7 linked regions of the Bombyx mori genome follow. The protein of the gene in region 7 interacts with the protein of the main gene of each other region in a biochemical or structural test. Links are inferred from orthologs where the notes say so. Each region holds a gene or a part of one and is shown on either strand. Other genes may lie near its edges.

Region 1 (4,042 bases), on a different chromosome or scaffold from region 7:
TTTCAGGACGAAAATGGGTTCCAAACAGCTTTATGAATACGATACCGAAATTAAAAAAAAGAAAACCAAATTTAAAAATTAAAATTAGATCATTTTTTGATTTTGAGATAATTTGATCAATGTAATCAATGTCAATTAAATATAGATCAATAAGGATAACTCAAAAACGACTGCTCAGACTTCGATAAAAATTGAAATTTGATAATAAAAAAAAAAAGAATCATAAAAATCAGTTGACCGAGAAAAACTTTTGAATTAACACAAAAAACAGAGCTGAATTGATAAATAGCCTCCTTTTTATGAAGGCTGTTAAAGCCCTAGAATTGATTGAGATATAAGTAATATGATGTTACATCGCAATATGTAGATCTTGAAGAAATGATAATGAATCTTGATGAAAATCACATCCGCCACCATCGCCACAGACTCATACAGGAGTCAGTCATCGTTGACGTCCTAGACACGTCCTTACAGATCTATCTGATCCAATAACTCGTGCATTAGATACCTACAACTCTAACTCTAGGAGCAAGTATATCGCCACAGACTCACACAGGAGTCAGTCATCGTTGACGTTCTAGACACGTCCTTACAGATCTATCTGATCCAATAACTCTTGCATTAGATACCTGCAACTCTAACACTAGGAGCAAGTATAGGAACCCTGCTAACCGAACTCATCAAACTCGTCAGAGTTCAAAGTAAATCTACCCTCTATAACATTTAGAGCCTGCTAAATTTCTCGCCAGATCTTCTCAGTGGGGCGCAATTCCGGTCTGGTAGAAGATGAATTCGTGAAGCAATTGCCCTTGAGATGGCAGGTTTTCTTTAGAGGTGCTAAGGCAGTTGTTAGCAAATCCCACTCCTCCTGGCAATTACAACCCTCTTTGTTTTCCCTGCTGTTTATATTTGCAGAAACATAAACATTTGTTCCATTTAGATGTGAGGTGCTAGAAGATCTCAGTGGGCAGCCGTGCAGAAGCTAAAGGTTAGAGAGAGATAAGAAATTGTGCAAGCTTACAATGCAGCAAGTATGCACTTTTAGATATACAAATATGACTAACACAATTACACAATGTGTCATTGTACAGTATATTATTTCAGTACAGAAGGTTAAGAAAAGTAAATGCAAGAGCCCTGGTAATTCAATTTAATGAATGGTATTCCTGAAAAACTCTTAATATGGATCTCAATAAGAAGATAGTTCCAATAATCTACACTATATATAAATAAACAAAAATTGGGCCTTGGTGCTAATGCAGTGCAGATATTTTAAGTAGGAGTAACCTTCTTACTACACATGCTAGCTTTCAGATACAACCTAGGCAGTAAAAGATACTTGCTAATTGGAGAGCACATACTTGCAGGAAGTGCAAAAACTTTGTCTAATGAAAAATTCAGTTTTTGCTGGGTTTGGGCTAGGACTGAGATATTTAATATTCTTAGTCTACACAAACACAGAATCTTATACCTTTAAACAAGCAATTCTTGTATATATATATAATCTGAATCTCGGAAATGGCTCCAACGATTTTTATGAAATTTAGTATACATGGGATTTCAGGGAGCGATAAATCGATCTAGCTAGAATTTATTTTAGGAAATGTTGTTTTACTTGTGTTTTCAATAATCAACTTTATCGATAATCAACTTTATGACTTCCCGACATATATTGGCGAATAATAATACTATTTTTCATAATTGTTTAAAGACACAATAACACTAAAGTTATTTCCACAGATGACGTTGTTAAGCCAACCGAAAGACAATTTATCAAAAAAAAAATTAATACCGAGCAAAGCTCGGTCATCGTCTAGTTCATGTTTATGAGGACAATTACTATTGTAATCAAAATGTGGATTATGAATGCTGTTAGCTTAGTATCGCCTGGATCATGTTCGGTACATTAATGTATTACATGCATTGCACGCAGGTGTGCTCTTACAATTGCAATAAATAAGGCAATCTGTCCATGACAATAGTGCTACAGATATTTAATTTAAAAAAATTCGGTATGTTATGTGTAAATATTGCTACTTGGTAAGCTGAACACATATACAAGGGGATGCTGGTGCCCCACACACAAGTTCTATTTCAATGGCAATCAATAATGAGGGAATAAATCCAAAATAATGTAAAAATACCTGTACTATGTCTGGCTTTTTGGAAGTAAATGGTTGCCTGAAGCCACCAGTGTCATAACTGTGATTTGATAAATAAGCCAAAAATACTTTTGCTTGGGCATAAATCGGATAAAATCTTTTATTTTATTTTAAACACAACTTCAATTACTTATAAAGATCAATGTGGGTAATATAAGTATTGTTTCTATTAAAAACATTGGTAGAAAATATAGAAAACAAAATGTTTACTTTTTCTCGTATGAATCACGAAAAACATTATAGATGTATTTTGAAAAGCTAATTTTACTATTACGAAGCAGTAAAATAATTCCTTTTCGACGAATTAAAAATAGCATTAACGTTTTGAATTTAAACAAAACATGATTTCTACAAGTTTGCTGAATCACGCACACATTGTTCTGAACTGGCTATTTGTTCTTTGTTTTATTATATCGAGACAATCCAACAATTTAGTTTCTTGGGCAATTTAACTATCTAAATAATAATAATGCATTCCAACAAAATATGACATTTTAACAAAAGTGCAAGTAACTCCAGTTCTACATTCTAAACATCAAAACAAATATAAAGTTTAGTTAAATTATTATCCATACCTCTTCACTTTTCATTATCTCTTTGAACTCTCTTTTTATACGTTTGGCTGCTATATTTGCCATTGTTAAAATTCTACTTAATTTTCACTTATTGCTTTACTGGATTCAAAAACGTTTAAAGCGCACGATCGCAGGCGATGAAATAAAGAGATTGATACCAGGATATTCTACCAAAGAGTTTTCAAAAACGTATTCCGAGCAAATGTTTACCACTATATCTGAAATTAAATTCTACCACACCCTGACGTCGAACATAGACTAAAAATATAAATTTGACATTCTCTTCTCACTTACTAACGGTATTACCATATCATTGCAATAATTTTCGGTAGTTTTCTTTCTCTATGAATTTTACTTTCTCTGTATTTCGTTCAGAAATCTCACAGATCACTCAACATTTTGCATGAGATTTTAAAGAGAAACAGACCTCGCATTCGTAAACGCATTTCAATAGGCTTCAAGTCAAGTTGTGTACTGTGGTTGGTTTGAATGTGTGGCAATAATTTTATTACCGTCTGTGATTTCCTATTCGCAATATTAAAATAAAAGTTAATTTAGTTTCGTGATGTTTGCTGTTAATAATAGTGAGTAAGTTTTAGGTCTTATTTTGAGGTATGACCAGTGTTATAAACAGTCTAAGGACGAAGTTATGTTAATTTACTCCCTATGTCACCGGGTTCCACCTATGTACCTGGCGCTTAAAGGTGCGTTGTGATAATGTTTATGTTAAAATTTTGTCTAATGCATGCTAAGTACCTCAATCCAATAGTAGTTTATGTTATGAATTTAAAAATAAATGGTGTTTGAAATAAGAACATGATGCTCTCGCATACATAAATAACTCGTGCAAGGCTATGAAGGGCGCCCGTTGTTCCCGAATACACACTTCATTGTGTACAGTCGTTACCAGTACTTAATAAAATTCTATAAATGATTTACTGAGGATGCTTAACATTATCCAAACAATAAAAATAATGCATTTGTTTACTTAATTACAAGATAAAAGGCGTGTAACTTTATAGAAAACTAATGTAATTCTAACATTTTAGTGTATAAGTAACCAAATTAGACAATCATAATAAAATTAAAAGTGTGCTGTTAAAGGTGTAAAGGTAAAATTCTAACACACAGCAATTGCTTATTACAAATTTAATAAAGTCACTTCAAAAGAATGAGCTATCTTGTTCATCAATAACGAAAATATATTTTTAAGAAGTTATCAACAGTGAGCACTTATGAAAACGGTTCACAATACACACAAAGAACGGAATTCAGAGTAATAAGTAGTCAGTTTCAAACCTAAAT
Region 2 (4,015 bases), on a different chromosome or scaffold from region 7:
TTCGGTCTTCAAATAAAGGCTTGTTGTTGAATACATTTAAAAATAAATGACACGGTAAAAGTAGCAAAACCTTAGTAGACATTCCTCATGCAATGCATGTTAAACTCTATACATTGTTACCTACATAAAATCAAGTTTTATTTAAGGTCAAACATGGGTTTATTTCAAGATTGAATAACAATTATTTACAAAATAAATTACAATATGTACATTGCATTTGTAGAGCAAATAAATGTAATTATAAACATTTAAAAAACAAAAGACCAGCCGGCAGATGTGAATTTTGTTTCTTTTGCTCAATAAGATAAATTTAAGACTATTCATATGATCCTAAAACATGTTTGACCATGTAAGTAAGGCATACAAAAGCTACAAGAACAAACAGATTTGTCAAAATACAATTCATACTAGACTGTGGCTCAGAGGTTACTTCATTTGCACCACTGTCTTGATTCAACAACATTGCCTCTTGTCGTTGTTTTAATTGCTGTTCAATCTCCTCTACATATTCAGGGAACAATTCACAAAACATTTTATTTTTTATGTTTATCTCTAGAGATTCTGCAGCCAAACATCGCTTTTGGTATTCTGAAGTTTCAATGGACCCCAATGTAGGAGTCTTCTCCAACATAAAACTCAACAGACCTGTAAGGATCGTAGAAATAGACCAAGCAGGGTTCCAAGTGTCCGGATGAAAGTCTGTAATACTGAGGCACAATCGTGTGTTTGTCTTGAACCTGCCATTCGGTGTTATCATGTAAATCGAAGGTGGTTTGAACGGAAATTCCCTTGGGAAAATAATCTTTCCATGATAATATCCCCCTTCGTAGGGACTTTTCTCCGGCCCTTTAACGACGTAATGCCATTCCAGTATGTTGGACGGCACAGGTTCGGCCGTAACATATGGTACTGGGTCATTCTTGAGCCTCAAATAATCCTGCTTCAATCTGCTAGTGGCTCCTGTCACCTTTGTTTTTGCCATGTTCACATGAATTGTTAACTTTTGAGTGTTTACAGTTCTTCGAGTAAAATGTTTTATAGCAAATGACTACATACAAAATGTTTTCATTTCTTAAAACCAATCTGTTTTAGTTAATAAATGGGTATGTAATGTACATACGACAAATAGCAATATCACAATGGCACAGAGTAGAGCAAGCAAGGTAGACATTTAACATTGTTGACAGTAATGGTACTTATAGTGCAACGTATCTCGCGTTTAAAAGAAAAGCCTAACAGACTACTCTAAAAAGTGAACAAACATGTATTGTAAAACCGATATTTAAATGAGCTACTTTTGTTTACAAAACAAAATATTTTTTGTTTGAATGGAATAGCCTTATATCCTTATCTTATCCTTATCCTTATAACCTATAATCACAAAAAAAAACTTTAAATGGAATGGACCATATGTATCAAAATAGACCGTTAAAATACCTTTTCACCTCAGCAGCTCAAATATGTAGCTTTTGCTGTGAGACAACATTGAACAAAACGCGATTTTGATTCGAGCTTGGATCAAAGTAGCTTTTTAAGTTTTCAATCTTCAGTGCCACGAACTGACATTGTTCAGCCATTAATTTGAAACATTCGAAGTTTACTGTGCTCTATCTCTTTCACATGCGTATAAAAAAGCGAGTGAAAAAACAAACTCCTTCGAAATTAGATTTTGGAATTTATTAGTTATTTCAATCTTTTCCTGTTCATCTATGTCTCCTAAGTTATGTGTTCTCACTTTCTCACTGCTGAGGTAGAAGTTATGTGTGCTACACGAGAGCAAAGTTTCTTATTGCACAAATAACTACTTAATTAATAAAACACACATTTTTTCTTAATTCATTGTTTGCATTTTCGTATAACAAAATGCAGTATCCCATAGTAACCTGTGGTTACGGCAAGGCATTCCAAGATTAAAAGATTCCTTTGGATGATTTTGGTTTTTGGTTAGCCCACCCAATAATGTGCTTTCGGTGTCAATAATCAGCGGGTAAATTTGATTTAATAAGCTTATTATTACTAGCTTAAATAAATAAGCAACGTAACACCAGAGGTTAACTTAATAGGTTAATATTCCGGACGGCCACCGCTCAGGTTTCGGCCACCACGTGTGATTTTTAGACTTCTTACTCGTTGAAACGTGGTGGCTCGAGTATTGCCGCAGTGGCTGTCGCGGAACGGGTGCTGGGATTGGTTCGAGGAAAATAACGAAGGCTTCAAGTATGGCGTTCACACGGTCCTCGTGGCTTGACCGGCGCAGGGCGTAGGAGCGAGTCTTTTCTTGTTCGACGGCTCTCTCCTCTTCTTCTGGAGAGGTCTTGACTCGTCGGCTCGCTGTCTCGAACTGAATTTGCAGTCGTGGGGTCGTCGCGTCCCCTTACGGGGGCGCGGAGCGGGCCTCGGGGAAACCCCTCTACCCGGACTTGTAGCTCCCCGCCTATTAAGGCAGGGGTGATGCACTGCGGGATGGACTGTATACAGGCTCGAGGTAAGTGGTGGGACGATTTCTGTCTTCACTTCTTCATCTTCTTTCTTCCTTCTTCTTCCGGGGGCGGCTGCTGCTCTCCTCCATATTGTTTTTTTTTTTTTTTTATTTTTTTTTTTTTTTTTTTTCTTTTTTTTTTTTTTTACAATTTTATCTTATCCTAGCTTAACCTAAAGTACACCTAACTTAATCTAACTTACATCTAAGCGACGACAGCGCGCCGCTCCTGCACTCCGTGGAGTGCCGGGACAGCGCGCGCCGTCACACCTAAACCTAATCCTAATCTAACTTAACCTAATATGGGGGAGAGAGCAAATCCGCACTCCGCGCTGCAGTCCTCTCCCCCTCTCCCCATCGTTATACAATATTGATGGGGGGGAGGACTGCAGCGGGTAAGAACACCCCATCCCAAAAGGGGGTGGGGGGTGGGGTCAAAGCCCTTCATGGAAATGAGGCTGCACCTACGGGGTGCAGCCTCCACGAGCGACTCCACACCTAGGTCCCGGGCAATAACGTCATTTCTGACGTACTGCCCGGCCCCGACGATAATGCGGAGGGAAAGACTCTGCTGGGCCTGCAACCTAGATCGCTGGGACGGCGACAACAGGTGATACCAGGCCACAGCAGCGTATGTGAGGCGGGAACGGACGTATGTCTTTTAAATGGCGAGTTTGGTCCTGGTCGGAAGCCCGGACGCAAACACCGGCCGCAACAAGAACATGGCCGCGCGGGCCTGACCGATGACTCGGTTGACGTGCGCGACCATGCTCAAAGAGCGGTCGATGTCGCATCCGAGGTACCGGACCGTGGTCCTGAACTCGACATTCACACCTCGGAGGCTGAGTTTCTTTGGGACAACTCTGATACGGACCGGACCGTAGAGTAAGGCCGCGGTCTTTCCCACATTGACCGCGACTCTCCAACGGTCCAGCCACTGGGGCAGTAAATCCAAAAGCCTCTGCATCCTCATGATGGCTGCAGAGGGGAACGGAGAGGACGAGAAGTAGGCCGAGTCGTCAGCGAACAAGGCCAACTTCACGTCCTCCTCCCACGCCCGAAGGTGACCCTCCAGGGTGGGGATGTCATTGGTATAGAGGGCGTATAGGATAGGAGATAGGACACTACCCTGGGGAACCCCGGCCGTAATGGGACGCACGGAAGACCGTGCGCCCTCGACCGCGACAAAGAAGGTTCTGCCCTCCAGATACGACCCGAGCAGTCGCACGTGAGCGTGCGGTAGGCCCGCGTCCCGCAGCTTGTGGACCAGCCCCTCGTGCCACACACGGTCGAAGGCCTTCTCGATATCGAGAAGGACCGCGACCGTGTATTGGCCCGAGTTTCGCCGGTCCGCCAAGTGATGCAGGACACGGGTCAGTTGCAGAGTCGTCGAGTGGCCGCTTCTAAAGCCGAATTGCTCCGGCCTGAGGAGAATATACGGCGATATTCTCCTCAGGAGCAGCCGCTCGAACAACTTGCCCACGTGCGAGAGCAAGGTAATCGGTCGGTAACTGGAGGGCTTTCTCCTGTCTTTGC
Region 3 (3,562 bases), on a different chromosome or scaffold from region 7:
AGGAACTGCTAATGCTAGTGTTAGCAAATTCTCTTAGGTTGAGCCTGTGTGCTCACCTACCCTTCCGGTCGTAGCTGGAATAACTTCTAATGCTACCAGCAAATTGGTAGGGAAAAAAGAACAAGTCCATATATGCAAAAACGACTATATCAAAGGTAAAATGGACCAGTCTTGTGACAGATATTGACACTTATATGTATTCACTTTCAAAGTCCAAATCGTCAGTTGCATTCCTGCAATTGATGCTATGCTATGGCTATGTATGCAGTTTATCAGAGTGAGTTCATATCCCTGTTGTCTTATTTCTAGCGCAGCACACAGTACAGAAATATTGTCCATAGATTTGCTTCACACTGTACACAGTTATACCATGAATACCATGATGAAGGTTATACCCACAACTACTTTGTGAAATATGCAGGTTTGTGGTACCAACACCTTTGATCTAACACAAACAGTTTAATAAAAATAAAAACAGAAAATCAGAAGAAAAACAAAAGTTGTAACAAACACTTTTTTTTTAATATTGTATGGGCACTTCTCTTATCAATTTCATAAATTATTATAACAGGTACTAATTTTGTATTTTCTATTAATAATGGAATATATCATATAAAAATATATTGTTAGCATATATTAGATACACAGCTTAATACTCATTGCAGATATCAAGACAATGTTTGATGAGATGCATCTAAAATTGTGAAAGTATCCTATAAGTATCCTGAAAGTTATACATATACATATAAAACAAAGGGCATATAAAAACAATGAATACGGCCTACATTTTAAGTACTCTAAATCAAGTGGGTCAACAACTTTGGCCTGTAATCATAAAACTCTATTCCTTTTCACTTAATAATAAATTCAAGTTAACATTTTTTATGTTATCATTAGTCCTGATATCACACAGCATATTTCTCAGTTTGTTGTTTAGCATTCTGAATAAAAGTATCCATGTTGTATTTATACTCATAAGCGATATCCATCATCAGTGGGTCATCAGGGTTTGGGTTCGCGAGGAGTGATTGTAATGAAACAAGTAACGTTTCCAGTGTGATCGTCGGTAACCAAGTACCTTTTGGTGGCATTTTTAACAGGTCCATACATATTCTTCCTCCTGCAAAATAAATTAGAATATTGGAAAGTGTATTGTTTTATTTTTATTTGCTGTTGCTAGTTTTTTTTGTAGTTTATGATAGATAAACATTTTAGTACGTTTTTCTATAGTACTTAATTCATAGTTATTGTTTTAAATTATAAACATGACTATAATAATTCTATCTCAATACCTACTGAGACCAATGATTACTCGCCATCCTCAATAAACCAAATTTACAAGTTTACTTAAGTGTAATACAAGTGCTTAATCACTTCCTTCTTATTGTTATTTCAGGCAAATATAATACTAAATCTAATACAAATATAACACAGTCTGATGTTGACCTGGAATAGCACTGTCTGAACGCCTGAAACAAAAGGCATGGCGGTAGGTCTTAAGTGAGCCCAAATAGGTAACACCATTCTATTTCTGTCGTGATCGTTCGATCTTCGCGTATTTCACAATGGTCCACAATAACCGTCAGTCAGTATAGCCCAGTACATTACAGTTAAACATTTAATACCAGGTGAACCGTGTGTCCTACAACATTATAAAACTTATTAGTACCTACCATTGTCAATATTAGGATGATAAACTGGTGTTATAAATTTAACTAAAGGAGGCTCGAACGGATATCTTTCCGGGATAGACACAGTTAATTTGAACGTTCCTTTCTCGTAAGGAGATCCCTTTGGTCCAAGAAGAATAACGGACAGGTTGTCATACTGATCGTCTTTTAACGGAAAACAACTAATCCCCCAAGGTGGCTTCATTTCAAAATTCTTCACCTCACGCGCGATGCGAGCAGCTCTAGCACTTGATAGCATAGTATTACTTGATATTTAGATACTTAATTTCTGAGAGAAGATTCGTACTTTTTAATTCAATTCATTGTTATGACCGGGACTAAGAATTCTAAGTTCCCGGGACATAAAACTTCAAACAGTTTGAAGTTCTACAAAACAAATAGATTTTTTTGAGTCGTTAATAGAATAGGCAAAGATAACTTAAGCTATGCAGGCTATACTATACCCAAAACTTTTTAAAGACGTCTAAAAATATATTTATTTGTAATGGAATGTAATCAAATGAAACTGAATGTAATCAAATGAAACTGAATGTAATCAAATGAAATTAATTGAATAGGTAATGAAATGAAATAGAATTAAAAGAGGTAAGATGAGACCGTAAGATCGTAGGTTTTTGGTGAGATAAAATTAAATATCCTCTTAGTAAGCTGATGGGAATTTACTGGTACTTCAGCGAATTTCTTGAAAGAGCCCGTGAAGCTACGTCTAGCTATTTTGTTTAAATTGCTGCTGGCTGTTATTTCATAGGTGTCGAGCAATTTCATTTTCATAAAATTAAAGAAAGGAGTTCATTTAGTTTTCACAGCCTAATTCTTCCTCCATTTTAAGACGCTCGTTCATTTTTAAGGATTTGATCAACTGGAATAAACGCTTTCTCGACGAGCTCTCATTGCTTTCGTTGACCAGTAGCACAGTGAAACGCGTTAGTAATGCGTGTAATATTATTTGTCAAACTGCGTAGCAAATTATAATTTTGCGGGTTTGATTTTTATTACACTTTGCTAATCCTTCACCATGGAAGTGAACATTTGATAAGTACGTATTTCATTAGAAAAATTGGTACCCGCCTGTGGGATTCGAACACCAGTGCATCGCTCGATACGAATGCACCCGACGTCTTATCCTTTAGGCCATGATGACTACCATTATCCCATAGCCTAGTATGCAGCGGCTTGGCTCTGCCCCTAACCATTGTTTACGTCCATGGACGACGGCAACCACTCACAATCAGGTGGGCCGCATGCTCGTCCGCCTAAAAGATCAAAACAAAAACCTGATGACCACTTAGGGTGTTAGATTTGTGTTGATTATGATTTTTTTTTTTGCGTGTTTAAAAGTGAATTCCATTTACTGATCAACGGAAATTAAGTGTTGCAGCAGCTCCTCCATACCTTTTCCCGTGCTAATAATCTACAAACTTCAAGTTTGAAATTATGCGCCATCAATTGTTACACCAACACCCATACTTTTAGCGTATTGTGCATAATTTATTCGCCATGGATGTAAAAAACAGGTTAGATAAATTACCTCTGGCATTAGTATTTTTGAAGTGAAACTTCTTTAGGTGCGGTGAGAGTAAAATTTAATTCACGACAGACTCGTTGGGGCTAGAGAAAAAAGATACAATTTAGGAAGAGCGAGAGTGAGAAAACAGACAGAGCGTCTAGCGAACCACTCGACCGTGGAAAGAAGGAAAGGATAAAGCGAGCTAGGTCATTTCTCTTATACACAGCACTCCCAATATTACAAGATAATTTTGAATTAAGGGTGAAAAATGAAGAAAACCACAATACTACACACCGCAAAAGAGGTTTCACTTCTTTCAAGTGGACCAAGTTGTACGCGCTCTTAACATACAGCCGAGATATTG
Region 4 (4,150 bases), on a different chromosome or scaffold from region 7:
AATGTGCGTAAAGGTATGTACGCCCACATATTAAATGTTCAGATTCTATATTTATAGAACAGTTTCTATTCTCTATCAGTTTGAATAATTGTACTAAGATTGAATTTGAATTTTGCCTGGCTTATATCTTGCTTATGCATAATTTGTTTCTGAGCATTGCTAGGTTAACACCAGATGGGCTGTGAGTCGTCTACCCATCTAAGCAATAAAAAAAAAGGTTTGTACAAGAGAGTTAGTTAAATCAACTATCTACATAATACAAATTATTCCTACAGAAGCATTTTATATTTTATAGATAAAAGTACAACTTTGTATTGATAAATATTTTATTTCTTTGTTAGGGAAATCCAAGAGTTAAAAAAATATACATATCCAAAATTTTAAGGTATACTTCAGAAAAATAATGATCGAGAATAGTAAAGATATCTAGTTAGGGAAGATTATATTATGCCTCTCTTAGTACAAAAGTAGTGTCTTTGTGTGTGATGTGTTTAAATAATATGTTAGTGATCGCTACCTGCTTAATTCCCTAATGATATACAAATGTGTGTCTGAAAGTTTAAAATGATATTAATTTTTAAATATTAATGAATTAAATTTCATTCGTGAATTCATTCATTAATGAATTAAATTATTAAATTCAATTAAAGAAAGCGAACTGAAATATCAGTTTTAATTTTGGACATTACAACACAAACAACAGTTTGCCTATCAACTATTTGGTATATTAGCATCATGTTCTGCCTGCTCTAAGCTATATAAATTGCTACAAATGCATTTAATAGGTTAAGTAATATATAATATAATATTCTATAACAAAAACATTTACAACTACAATGAAATTATTGAATTAAAATGGAAACATTTTACGTGCAAAAAAAAAACCACTTACTGCAGCATCAACATTAGCGGGACTCTCATCATTTGGATCAGCGAGCATTGAAATGACACTGATCAGTATAGTCTCAACTGTGTGCACAGGTAACCATCGTTCTGAAGCTTTTTCATAACCCCATTTGTCATCACCTGGCTCGTGAAGTATTGATATGCAGACATCACCATTTTTATCAACTGAAAGTCATATTTTCATTACATTAATTACATAAATAATTCGAGTGTAATCCACATTTGTAGGGACTCCTTAAACCTGCACCATAAATTCCTCTCTAAAATATAATAGAAGGCACCCACATAGTAAATCCATGGTACTAAGAAGTTCACCTTTGCTTTTTTATTAAACTCTTATTTATTTATTGGATATATGGAGTCAATTGTGTAATGGTCCACCTGGTGTTATAGTTACCAGAGTGAAGATCCCATTTTGTAAATGTCATTATCCAGTTTTAGACATCAAGTCAGTCTCAATTGTATTGAATGACACTGCTTTGAAACAGAAATAGTCAGGACAGTACAGACTCGTTTGGATGAACAATACGTTCAATAATTATAAATACTGTAGTTTTCATATTTATTTTCTATACAATATTTATTAGCTGTAATCATAATGAATTTGTACCAATCAAATTACCCTTAGATTTTAATGAGTGAAGCACTTTACAGTAATGCTATATTTCTCTAATTCAGTGTATCAAAACAAAACAAAAAATACTTAGACATCTAATTTATGATAAGCACTCGCAAAACAAACTTAATGGGTTTGTTTAGCTTTAAGTCAATATAAAAGTAATCTAAACTTAAAATGTTAAAAATACTCTACTATTATTAACTAAAAAAAATTATCATCATACTCACTATTTGGATGCCATATTTCAGTCACAAATTTCATCCGGGGTGGTCTCAAAGGATATTCCTTGGGAAAATTTAAATGTGCTTTAAAGAAACCTCCCTCGCTGAAAATTATTTTTATTAAGAATAAACAACATGTCTCATAATTTAATACTTTTCTTTATTAAATAGATGGTTAAAAAACTTGCAGCCTGTATGGTGGTTACAGGAGTCTTTAGACATCACAATGTGAATGTTGCCACCTGCCTTGAACCATCAGAACTGAATAACTTGAAGCTTCTTTCAAAAAATATGCAGGATGATATACATCTACACATCTTAAAGGCTATACACCATACCACCAGCATTTTTATAAACATTACAATATGCAAACAATTAATAATAGTGATTACTGAGAGATATAGCTTTGAACTATATATAACTTGGGTATTTACTCACTATAGTGTGTCTGGGGGACCAATAATGAGGACTTCCCATTTGTATATATCATTGTCATCTATTAAGCCAGCAGAAAAGCCTTCTACTGGGTTTTTGTTCAGTTCTGAAATAAAAAAAAGATTTAAAAGACACTCATTTTACAAACGACAATGCACAGATCGGAAGATTATGGACATTTAACCGCATTGTTCGCCAGTAATGTGAACCTTTGCCAAATCCAAATCGTAAATACACTCGATCTACAGTTTGACTTTGGCAAAGTGTACCTGTCATCGCAACGGATATTGATTTTATTTGGCAGGTTTATTCCTCATTAATTAACCTAACTCCATTAGACCTGAAATATAATCTATAAATGCGTTAAATACTACAATTAATAGTTACCAAATTTGACTCGATAAGGTCAACGAATTTCGTTCAGAACTTGACTAGCGCGGTGACTGGCATATTATACATGAGTTTTATGTTAAATAAGAACTTACCAGCTAATTGCTTTTTTAATAAAAGCGAAGACTGTGGCTCTGACATTAATTACAATTGTGAAATTTACCCTGAAGACACGAAACAAATGATTTTTCGACAAAAGATGGCTGGCAGAGTTTTGAGCAGGTTGTGAAACATATGAGTTACTACTTACTTCCGGTTGATTTTGTGTTGCCATATATTTTCTGTGTCATTCTACTGTCACTGATTAATCTTAATTATATGGTTTGGTTTACAGCTAAAATATAATTTTATTATTCTTTCAATATTGTTTTTTACTATCTAAGTAACGTAGGAAAGCTCTTGAGCTCTGGTAAATGCTTTGTATTATATTGTCATAAGAAGTTAGTGAATTTAAGAAAACATATCGCTTCGTTTGAGCCTTTCTACACGCCAAACTTCATATTGATTACGACAATTCTGTTGATTAGGTTTAAATAATGCGATGAGATTAGTCAACATTTTCTGTAATTTTTAAGGAGGCAAAGAAATGAAGCTATTGTTCAAAACTTAAAAGTATTAGAGTCTAGTCTAGTTACTGAATCCCTTAACTGTCACAAAGTGCATGCCCTTAAAAACTAAGAAATATTTTATCCAAAACAATGGTATTTCATGTGTTCCACACTTCAATCTTCTAATAACTTTATTTGGTCTAGTAACTCAGAGCGGATATTTATAACGCCACCTATTGAGCGTTTCACAGAGTGTAATAACCTTTTTTATAGATGTCGCTATGTACATACTAGCTTTGGTTTTAAATAAATTATGTTTGAATAACTTATATCCAAAGTTAGGTAGTCAAAGCTTGAATGCATATTTTGAGTTAATATTTTACTAAACTAAAGGGAAGAAAGAAAGACGAAATTTTTAAATTATGTAAAATAATTATATTCATTGTGAAAATGATAAATTATACAAAAAATATTTTACAAATCAACTGTTTCAGAATCTCTTCGTTTTTTCTTTCCGTGCGCATCAGCGTGTCCGTTCATGTGTTCTAGTTTTCTTTTGTTTTTTATATTATTCTTTAAATTTTTTTTAGGCTGCTTACTCGCGATTTCACCATTTTTACTATTTTGGTTAATCGCATTAGCTTTCTTATTATTTTCACTCGCTTTTAGTGTACCCTTACAAGAACCTACGATTTCTAACAAAGTATTAAAATCTAAATTACATTTAACATGGCAGCTCTCGTGGAAAATTTTCATGCTGTTTATCAATTTTTTTAGTAATAGGAAGAAATTGTTTTTGACAGCCAATTGCTGTTGCCCCTTCAGTGTTTTTCTTAATGTAATATCAAATTTATTTTCCAAATTATCTAGGCAAGCGAGCGCTTTATCCGTTTCGGGTTTGTTTCTCTTCAAGGCTCGATACAGGCCCGCCAAAAGTTCCAATCCCTCGTTGCGCCGGAACTGTCTAACTTCGGGATTGAACACATTCTCGATTACGATCGGGGCTAACTCATAAATTCCTTCCCATTCCA
Region 5 (2,678 bases), on a different chromosome or scaffold from region 7:
TCTAGTGAAAGTATATTAGGCAAGTGACTATAAATTATGACCAGTGAAGATAAGTTGGTTGAAGGATTGACATTTTAAATTGAACAGAAAATTTATCCAGAATATATTTCTCAAAGCACCAAAATCATCCCAAGATTTTGTTACTGTTCTAGTTTCTATCAAGTAGTTTGAGGCAGACATACCTGTACACTTTTTTTATTGTTTTTTAATGCTCAGTAATATACGGTCTAAAATGGTGTTTCTGTATCAAGAATTGAAAGTAAAGCTAATTTTAATACTAACTTCTCTAGAACTCATGGTATGGAATAACATGTCCAAGAAAATTATAAATACTACCTATGTACATACTTATTCAAATATTTATAAAGAATATAATTAGATGTTTAAAAAAACAGCTTTAAAATTATTATTTAAAAGTCATTTCATCATTATATGCATAAATATATTGATAACATTGTTTATTTTTATTAAGGAGGTCACATGTTATCAATTAATAAAATTGCAATATTGCAACTATGTTTCAATAACAAAAATAAAACTATTAAATTAAAATAATATGTATTTGATAACCTATAAACAACCTTGTATTTAATTGCAATGACAATGCACATCTGATGGCATGAAAATGTATTTGCAGTTCAAAAATGAAATGATTACATTGCTCTTTTTCATAAATATAAAGTTAAATTTGGTATTAAAATTGGATTACTTTTTTACAATTAAGAGAGCAACTGACAAAAACTTACCATCTTTCGGAATAAATTGAAAGGCAAATGGTTTCATTATCAATAAACAATATTTTTTGAGATAATTGTCTTAGTTAAAATCCTATTACCTAGTATGTTTTTTTTAAATAAGGTTAGTAAAATATGTTTTTGACAAAATTCAATGTTAACATAACAACAATCATTAAGTAGGTAGGTAGGTACTCATAGTCTTACTCATGACGAGCTACATGGCCCTATGGAAAAACTTTTGTTCTCTAGAAATGTACTGTATGTTTCTGCATCTTTACTGAGAAGAATTTATATATTCTGCGATCTCATTTTTAATTGCATAATTCATTGCTCGAAAGATCACTGGGGAAGAGTTATAGCCATAAACCCATAGACGCAGCCCACTGAGTTTCTCGCCGGATCTTCTCAGCGGGTCGCGTTTCCGATCTGGTGGTAGATTCTGCGAAGCACGGTCCTTGCTAGGGCCAGTGCTAGCATCACACCGGTTTGAACCCTGTGAGCTCACCCATACGTTATGGCGAAACTGAAATAGCCTCTGTGTGCTTAGTTCTAGTTTATTAACGTTCTCAATAGCGTAAAAGTTAGCTCATATTTGCATGCAATGGGATCGTTTGCCTACGTTTTCCGCTAGGGGCGCTGTTCCAACTGCATTCAAAATTGGGTTAATTTTTACTGCACACTGAAGGCTATCAGCATAGGTAGGAGAAAAAAAGAAAGAAAAAAAGGCCATAAACCACCCACTGGTCCACTGTAGGTCTTCATTGTTCATTTGTGTGACAGGCTCTAGTACGAATGTCTATTCTCTATATTATGATGTTTCGCGAAATGTATCATGTGTATGAGGTGTGAAGTATTTTCTGTCTCAAGTAGTGTGTTGGCACTCCTTATTATTGCTGCCGCAAACGACGATGACCACGCATCATCAGAAAAATGGAAAATGCCGTCAGCCTACTAAGATTATAAACTTTAAAAAACATGAAATTAATTAAATTTATTCAATTTACAGTATATGCTGATGGTCGGGTATGCATATCAATCTTACATGCACCAGGTGATGATCCAATGGGCTACGAAACCAGTGCTGAAAGATGGTCACCTGTACAAAGTGTCGAAAAAATACTGCTCTCTGTTGTCAGCATGTTAGCAGGTGGGTTTTAAAATTTACAATTTGAATTCCAAAACAGCAATATATATTTTTTACCCCTAAATAAATTATTGTATCATTAATGTAGACAGAAGCTGAATTTGTTCAATAATAACATATTTCAGAACCCAACGACGAAAGTGGAGCCAATGTCGATGCTGCCAAAATGTGGAGAGAAGACAGAGAACAATTTAATAAAATAGCCGAAGAAATCGTAAGGAAAACTCTGGACCTGCCCCCTCCTTAATATTTTATTTCTTGATTATTTTATATCAATATCTAAATGAGATGCTAAGTAAATGCTGAAATGGATATCACGTTTAGGTACGGTATTTTATTATTCGCAAATTATATTTATAATGTTATATAATATATTCACTTTTAACAAACATTTTTATCAACTTTTATCTGCAAAGCTCATGCATAAAATATTAGAATGTTGCCAACTAGTTTTGGAAGCCTTATTAGACTTTGCTTGTTATATCAATTATATTGACTTAAGGAGCGTCAATTAACAAACCGATTGACCTCTGGTCATTTTATTTATCATGAAAGAGATATGAAACTTTTAACAGAAATAATGTTTTGTATTTATAAATGTTGAAGTTACAATTTGTTAAACTACAATAATTATATTCATATAAAGGTTTTTAACATTAAACTTTATGAGACCTGCTTAGCCAATCGAGGAAAGCATCACGGGCTTGGTACTGCAATGTAAAATTTACAGAACAAATTTCCTACTTAATTAATTCTAGTTTTGAGTAGCTGTGGTAGAGAGGGTTTTGAGAACCTAT
Region 6 (3,500 bases), on a different chromosome or scaffold from region 7:
GAGAAGAATTTGAAAAATCAACATTTTATTACTGTTATATAAGTTCTTCTCTACTAAAGATTTTTTTTTTTATTGCGTAAGTTGGGGAAGAGCTTCAGGGGGAAGAGTATCAGTAAAAGCAAACGTCTCACTAATAACTATAAAAAAAATTGATTTTCTCAGGCAAGAATCGCATAAGTGACATTATAGCTCTGTATGTGCGATATGATCGCGTTTGTGACGGACATTTTGATCCTTGTTGAGGACAATAAGTCCGTCGTTCGACGCGCCCCGTCCCGGACTCGTTCGCGCACCGTACATCCTCATTATTATAACACTTATCACATACTGAGATTTAATCATCCATGTTCGATAGAATGAACCGCATGGCTTGCTACACCGAATCATCTGGAATAATTGAGAGAGCGGTCAATGATGGCTTCGCTGCGTCAGATCTCGGCGCTACTTGTCGAGGTGAGCGGTATCTAATATTCATTGTATTTTCATAGATACCGTTCGTATCGTCTTATCGAAGCGCAAAAAGTACAGAATAAATTCATTATATTAAATTTATGCAATTTTAATGACTCCTTAGTTTTTTTGATTTTACTTTTTGTCGAAACGCAATAAAAAAAAACAACATTTGAATTTAGTATTGTCATTCTCGTATTTTCGCGCCCATCTTTATTAAATATACTTTTGAATTTATAATTTAGTGGGTAATTGTGGTGGGTGAAAAAAGCGGAATAATTTTGATAGTATTACATAAAGTAGATATGGGGTTAAATGTCTCCGTTCGATTGCTACTTTTTTTTAATGTATAATATGAGTTATGCACGGGTTTTAAGCTCTTATTAATTTTATTTATATTCATGTTTTTTTTGTTCTACCCACGAAATATGTTTTAAAACCATTTCAAATTTTCACATCACGATCACTCATTAATATCGGTGTGGTGAAATTCGATGCTGGTATCTGGATATCTCTAATGTAAATGACTTCAAGTCTTAAGATAAAGACGGTTTGATGTTGCAATATATGATACGAATGGACAATGAAAAATAAAATCTTGCTTCACTCACCATGATACCACCATTTTGTTTTCTTAGGATTTTTATTACAGGTTTTAACGTAGAACGAATTATCAGGCGGTCGTCTCTGGAATGTTAAAATTGGATTTTATATATTTAATGACTAAAAATTACTTCTGTTATGAAGCGAATCGATGGGTTCCGGGTTCAAGAGTGGTACAGCTGTCACACAATATAAATCGCACCTTTAAAATTATAGAGACCCAACTCAAAATATGTATTTTTTGGAAAACATCGAATAAAGTTTTCAAACCGAAAAGACGTAGAGGAGGGGAACGTAGTGAAAGAGACCGATAGATAAGCGTGTCCCTTTATAAGCTACTTTTGGTAATTTGATTATTAACAGTCGCTGAAAAAGGTCGTTCTAGATCAATTTTTGAATTAAAGTCGATATCCAGAAATTTCGAAATAGGTCTCTATAATTCTAAAGTTCCAATGGTCTAAATCTAAATGTTGCTTCCACGCCGTGTCTCATAGTGGTTCTCCGCACTCAGGTTGTGATGTCTGTAACCACTTAACACCAATAAGATCAGCTGTCGTCGAGTGCAATAATTAGCGAAAGGATTTCTTTTAATTGCACAGACGGTTGAATGAACTCCAAGCTATCCCGGAGTTATGTGTTTACTGGAATTTCCTATTGAAATTACAAGGTGAATTGTAGTCTCAATTGTAGATATTAACGACTGTACCACTCTTTTCAAGACGACACAACGAAAACAAAATATTCATCATTTGCATAGCTTTTTATAACAGGGAAAGCTGAAAAGTGACGTATAATTATTAATGCACTTAGGTCCATAATATCAATCATGATTTATGCGAAATATTTGGCCATTTTGAAAAGAACCGTTTAAACCCAACGCACGGTTTAAGCTTTGAGATAATTTAAGCTACGGAGGTGAGTTTAACACTGATTTAAATTACGAGTTGATCTTCAGTGATCGTTTAAAACTTCGATATTAGTTTAAACTACGATTGATATTATGGGCCATAGTCGAGGACGTCATTATGCGAATGACAGTGGACTAATTTTAATAGTGTTCCGAATTATAAATGTTAAAGTTTTTGGAGAAGATGTCCCGATTATTTTCGCATCAAACGAGTGTTCGAGTTTAGAATTCGCATTGAACAGACGTAGTAGTGTTTATTCTTTTTTCTTAAGTTTTTTTTACTGGGCAAATGCATTAAAATAACTCGCTTCTTAAAGGACATGGGCCACTCTCCATACTTTGCACGGCCCACTAAACGAAGTTCAAGGACAGCGTAGTTTTTTTTTTGTTAAAGATCAATAATTGTTCATCAATGTAATTTTTAATGATTTATTCACGGATTTAAAAGTATAAAAATAGATTTTTGTTTAGATATAATATTTTATATTAATTTTAAAATCTATTAATTAAATATGTTAATATATTTTGCTAGTTTTTTGCATTATAATGTTTTTTTAAGAATATTTAATGTGAATTGTTTAAAATATAAATAATATATTTTACCCATGGCAACTCCTTCAATATTATCAATGTAGATTAGTCATGCTGATTTCTTTTTATTTATGATTTTAATTAACCCACCATTAAAATGCCCTTAAATTTTATAATAAGTATGTAAAAATGAAATGTTTTTTTCTATAGATATTTCACTAATGTCCTTGAGAGCACGAGTAGCTGGGTCGAAAATGGCCCATGTCCTATATACTACTTTCTTATTCAGAGTTATTTTACTGGATAAACATCTAGATGCATTAAAATAACTCGCTTCTTAAGTTTACACTATCTTCTTATTCAGAGATTGCGTCAAGGTCCGTTATTAAAATAGATCATAATACCTTTTCCTTACAGCTACTGAGCATCGACACGATCGAGAGGCAGACTGATTGCACCGACAGCGCCGGCGACCAGTCGTCGGTGAGGATCGAAAGGCAGATGTGCCCGTTCGAGTACACGTGCGGGTGAACGGGAATGTTGTTGCCTATGAACGTTACCTGTACATACGCAAAATTTCGTTTTCAATTATGCGACATCGATTATTTTTTCTACTAATTTGGAAGTTTTTTTTTAGAATATTTTTTTGGCAACACCAGCTGACCTGTCCCAATTTCAATTTAGTGATTTCTGTTGAATCTATTAAGAGCGTTCAAAAATCAAATTGAAAATTTTGTAAGCCTTTGGAAAAAATATTTATTTGCTTATACTTTCATTTTTTTATTCGGACTATAGCCTGCAGTTGTTGCATTTCTCTATAATTAACGGACGTAGTAGCTTATAAGGCCACGGACGCTTAAGATAAATATAAACACCGTTCCTTATTTAGCAAGAAACAATAGCCACGCCCCTGTTGTCATATATTTAATCGAAACGATGTGAAAATATTTTATTATCATTATGATTCATAATCTTGTTTTATCTTGAAATAGATTAAAAAAAAACGATT
Region 7 (2,511 bases):
GAATTATGCTTTCCCAATATGTAAGGGTCTATAAACAAATACAGCCTCAGCCGATAAACATTACTCATCGATTAATGTAAAGAAACAATCTTCTAATTTTGGCTCCGTAGAGTGCTCCTTATCTCTACGAACTCCAGGGCTCATCAAGTTTTACGAAAATCTATGTCAATTTCTTTTCAATATTTACTGTTGATAAAAGACACAAATTAAAATCTTGTCAAAATATAATTTACATCACTAGAAATTCACTAACTCGTTATTGGAGTTTTGTGTCCGAGGCGTATTTGCTTTTATACCTATATGCATACTAAATGTAACCTAAAATACAATACTTTGTTTTTGAAATATTTTATAAAGATTGTTTATTTTTTTAACGTTTTTTGTGAAGAGATTCAAATAATCAAGTTCTACCTGAACCATATGACTTTGGCACTACCGAGCAAGATGTCCGGAATATTTTCGTTATTATACCTTTTTACATAATAAATGAAACAAAAGTATGTTGGTTTTTTATTTATTTTTCGTTCCACATACAGACCCATCTGATTTTACAATAAAATATCGAATTTGGTAAAAAACTTTTTCACGACGTAAAATAATAATAAAAATGCAGCACATCATCATTTGACAGTGAGCAAACGAATGAAACGAAACGACTATGAGTAATTATTTGAAATTTAGACTGAAGCAAATTCTGAAGCACAAATATAATCACACAATTTATATTAACTATCACGGTATTAAATAGAACCCTCTCTGCGTAGTGGTAACTATTATTTTTCAGCACCACTTTGGGAGGGCTCAAGATCACATTAAATAGACTAAGGCAGAGTGTATTTTACATACGGGACCTCCACATCATTCCCGTCATCATCATTGCAGCACAATTCAAAAACTAATGCATTCACATGCGGTTCCAACTTCTTCTTGGACACTTTTGTGACCACCTCCGACATTGGCAGGTTCAATCGTTCCAGCCGCTTGGCTTTGGGCATGAAGAACGAATAAAGCATGCACACACCTTGAGACAACATGGTGATCTCCAACTTGTGTTCGTTTTTGAAGTGATCTAAAAATTGCTGTAATGTAATCTCTCCTTTAACTTCAAATCTGTCCCATAATGTCCACTTATTCTCATTGTAGGTGTTGGTCGACGGCGCAATCGGTTCAGAGAAACCGAAGAAGGGCAGGGCAAGGTTGACGAAGCCGTTCTTGAACACTTCCAGCTTATTGAAGCCTTGGGCCAGTTTGTAAAGTTCGAGGCAGACTAAGCCAGCCACCACGGATGTTGTAGTGGCAATGGCAGGGATAATCTTGCCAGCGATGAGTTTAGAGCGATGTCTGTCGGCTGGCGTGATCTTGTAGTTGGTAGCCCGCAGGTTGGAGGCGGCAACGATGAAGTCCATGTGGAAATTTGTATCATCATCTTTTTCGAATTCTAGCGGTGTGATCTTAAGAGATCCGAGTTTGCTTGGAGACGGCAGCTCTGCGATCATGTTCTTAACCCTGTCTTGATCCATCTCGTCATTGTTTTGCTGTAACTGGGCGTCGCTCACCGCGATCTTCACGCCGGATTTGGGGCTGAATTTCGGTACCTGAATTATAAAATAGAATAAAATAACCACCATCAAATGTCTAGGATACATTTTTGTTTCGTTGTTGTTTGTAATGTTCTAGTTTATAGGAAAATAATAAATTTTAACAAATATAGGTCTGATATTTCATTAACAATGCCTGTGATACTAGTTAATATCTATTAAATAGAAGCGGATGCACCAGGTGTATGAATCAAATTGTTCTACAACCTATTATCACATGATCCAAGATGCAACATAAGTAGAGTTACTCTTGCCGTAAACAATGATTTATTCAGAGTTTTACGTACCTGTATGCTAGCGGCAAGCTTGGCGATGTTTTCCCTGTCAACACAGGATGGGATTCCATATACCGTAGCCCTGAGGTTCGCTGCGGCAACAATGTAATCGACGTGTAGTTCATCATTAGGATCGAAGGCGAGGGGTGAAGGACAACGCTTCGGTCCGGACCAGAAAGGCGCTCCGCTCGTGGTCAACTGTTTCGCCGGGAAGTTGTAAAGGAGCTGCTTGATCTGGTTCGCGTATTGGTTCTCCCAATGATGTCTCGCCCATATCACGCAGTCGTCGAAACTGTGAGGGCGTTCGTTTATAGCGTTCTGTAATTTAACAATTTTGGAGATTTACATTTTGTTTTTTTCAAGAGAAACAAATAAAATGAATGGAGTGAAATGAGTATAATTTTTCGTTTCTATTGTAGAAGTTGACCTTGTGAGGTTTTTATGGAGAAGATGGAGGAGGTGTGTGTGTTAGTTGTTTGTCCGTTGCGTGTTGTCCTCCATAAACCTCATCGGAGCGGTCAATAAAACACTAGGTATAATCACATGTTTATTCGCGTCAGCGACCGCGGTGGATCGCTGCATGTAAACCACTGACTGACTAACGTATGTTGCTCATTACTATAAATACATAGCAAGCA

Evidence for each region.
Region 1: of the proteins of ubiquitin-like modifier-activating enzyme 1 (region 7) and Ubcd4, one has a biochemical effect on the other in vitro, tested with the Homo sapiens proteins (9 studies listed by BioGRID, with this or other methods). The link is inferred for Bombyx mori from reciprocal best matches to the Homo sapiens genes UBA1 and UBE2K.
Region 2: of the proteins of ubiquitin-like modifier-activating enzyme 1 (region 7) and ubiquitin-conjugating enzyme E2 J2, one has a biochemical effect on the other in vitro, tested with the Homo sapiens proteins (2 studies listed by BioGRID). The link is inferred for Bombyx mori from reciprocal best matches to the Homo sapiens genes UBA1 and UBE2J2.
Region 3: of the proteins of ubiquitin-like modifier-activating enzyme 1 (region 7) and ubiquitin-conjugating enzyme E2 T, one has a biochemical effect on the other in vitro, tested with the Homo sapiens proteins (4 studies listed by BioGRID, with this or other methods). The link is inferred for Bombyx mori from reciprocal best matches to the Homo sapiens genes UBA1 and UBE2T.
Region 4: of the proteins of ubiquitin-like modifier-activating enzyme 1 (region 7) and ubiquitin conjugating enzyme, one has a biochemical effect on the other in vitro, tested with the Homo sapiens proteins (3 studies listed by BioGRID, with this or other methods). The link is inferred for Bombyx mori from reciprocal best matches to the Homo sapiens genes UBA1 and UBE2G1.
Region 5: of the proteins of ubiquitin-like modifier-activating enzyme 1 (region 7) and ubiquitin-conjugating enzyme E2 G2, one has a biochemical effect on the other in vitro, tested with the Homo sapiens proteins (5 studies listed by BioGRID, with this or other methods). The link is inferred for Bombyx mori from reciprocal best matches to the Homo sapiens genes UBA1 and UBE2G2.
Region 6: of the proteins of ubiquitin-like modifier-activating enzyme 1 (region 7) and ubiquitin-conjugating enzyme E2 W, one has a biochemical effect on the other in vitro, tested with the Homo sapiens proteins (5 studies listed by BioGRID, with this or other methods). The link is inferred for Bombyx mori from reciprocal best matches to the Homo sapiens genes UBA1 and UBE2W.

The regions. Positions count from the first base shown.
Region 1 is NC_085107.1:6,308,503-6,312,544, reverse strand, and holds the start of Ubcd4 (ubiquitin conjugating enzyme 4), read right to left. Parts: upstream 2,801-4,042; coding exon 2,738-2,800; intron 1-2,737. UniProt on the Homo sapiens protein: Accepts ubiquitin from the E1 complex and catalyzes its covalent attachment to other proteins. In vitro, in the presence or in the absence of BRCA1-BARD1 E3 ubiquitin-protein ligase complex, catalyzes the synthesis of 'Lys-48'-linked polyubiquitin chains.
Region 2 is NC_085127.1:11,027,151-11,031,165, forward strand, and holds the start of ubiquitin-conjugating enzyme E2 J2, read right to left. Parts: upstream 2,801-4,015; 5' UTR 983-2,800; coding exon 317-982; 3' UTR 1-316. UniProt on the Homo sapiens protein: Catalyzes the covalent attachment of ubiquitin to other proteins. Seems to function in the selective degradation of misfolded membrane proteins from the endoplasmic reticulum (ERAD).
Region 3 is NC_085126.1:11,811,434-11,814,995, reverse strand, and holds ubiquitin-conjugating enzyme E2 T, read right to left. Parts: upstream 2,068-3,562; 5' UTR 1,930-2,067; coding exon 1,674-1,929; intron 1,121-1,673; coding exon 906-1,120; 3' UTR 501-905; downstream 1-500. UniProt on the Homo sapiens protein: Accepts ubiquitin from the E1 complex and catalyzes its covalent attachment to other proteins. Catalyzes monoubiquitination. Involved in mitomycin-C (MMC)-induced DNA repair.
Region 4 is NC_085122.1:9,586,214-9,590,363, reverse strand, and holds the start of ubiquitin conjugating enzyme, read right to left. Parts: upstream 2,801-4,150; 5' UTR 2,713-2,800; coding exon 2,667-2,712; intron 2,288-2,666; coding exon 2,185-2,287; intron 1,851-2,184; coding exon 1,753-1,850; intron 1,072-1,752; coding exon 893-1,071; intron 1-892. Other genes in the region: myb-binding protein 1A, read right to left, coding at 3,594-4,150. UniProt on the Homo sapiens protein: Accepts ubiquitin from the E1 complex and catalyzes its covalent attachment to other proteins. In vitro catalyzes 'Lys-48'-, as well as 'Lys-63'-linked polyubiquitination. May be involved in degradation of muscle-specific proteins.
Region 5 is NC_085107.1:15,239,403-15,242,080, forward strand, and holds part of ubiquitin-conjugating enzyme E2 G2, read left to right. Parts: intron 1-1,743; coding exon 1,744-1,884; intron 1,885-2,006; coding exon 2,007-2,128; 3' UTR 2,129-2,678. UniProt on the Homo sapiens protein: Accepts ubiquitin from the E1 complex and catalyzes its covalent attachment to other proteins. In vitro catalyzes 'Lys-48'-linked polyubiquitination. Involved in endoplasmic reticulum-associated degradation (ERAD).
Region 6 is NC_085117.1:6,909,219-6,912,718, forward strand, and holds part of ubiquitin-conjugating enzyme E2 W, read right to left. Parts: intron 3,052-3,500; coding exon 2,896-3,051; intron 1,138-2,895; coding exon 1,062-1,137; intron 388-1,061; coding exon 374-387; 3' UTR 1-373. UniProt on the Homo sapiens protein: Accepts ubiquitin from the E1 complex and catalyzes its covalent attachment to other proteins.
Region 7 is NC_085114.1:15,613,383-15,615,893, reverse strand, and holds the end of ubiquitin-like modifier-activating enzyme 1, read right to left. Parts: intron 2,192-2,511; coding exon 1,886-2,191; intron 1,596-1,885; coding exon 822-1,595; 3' UTR 501-821; downstream 1-500. UniProt on the Homo sapiens protein: Catalyzes the first step in ubiquitin conjugation to mark cellular proteins for degradation through the ubiquitin-proteasome system.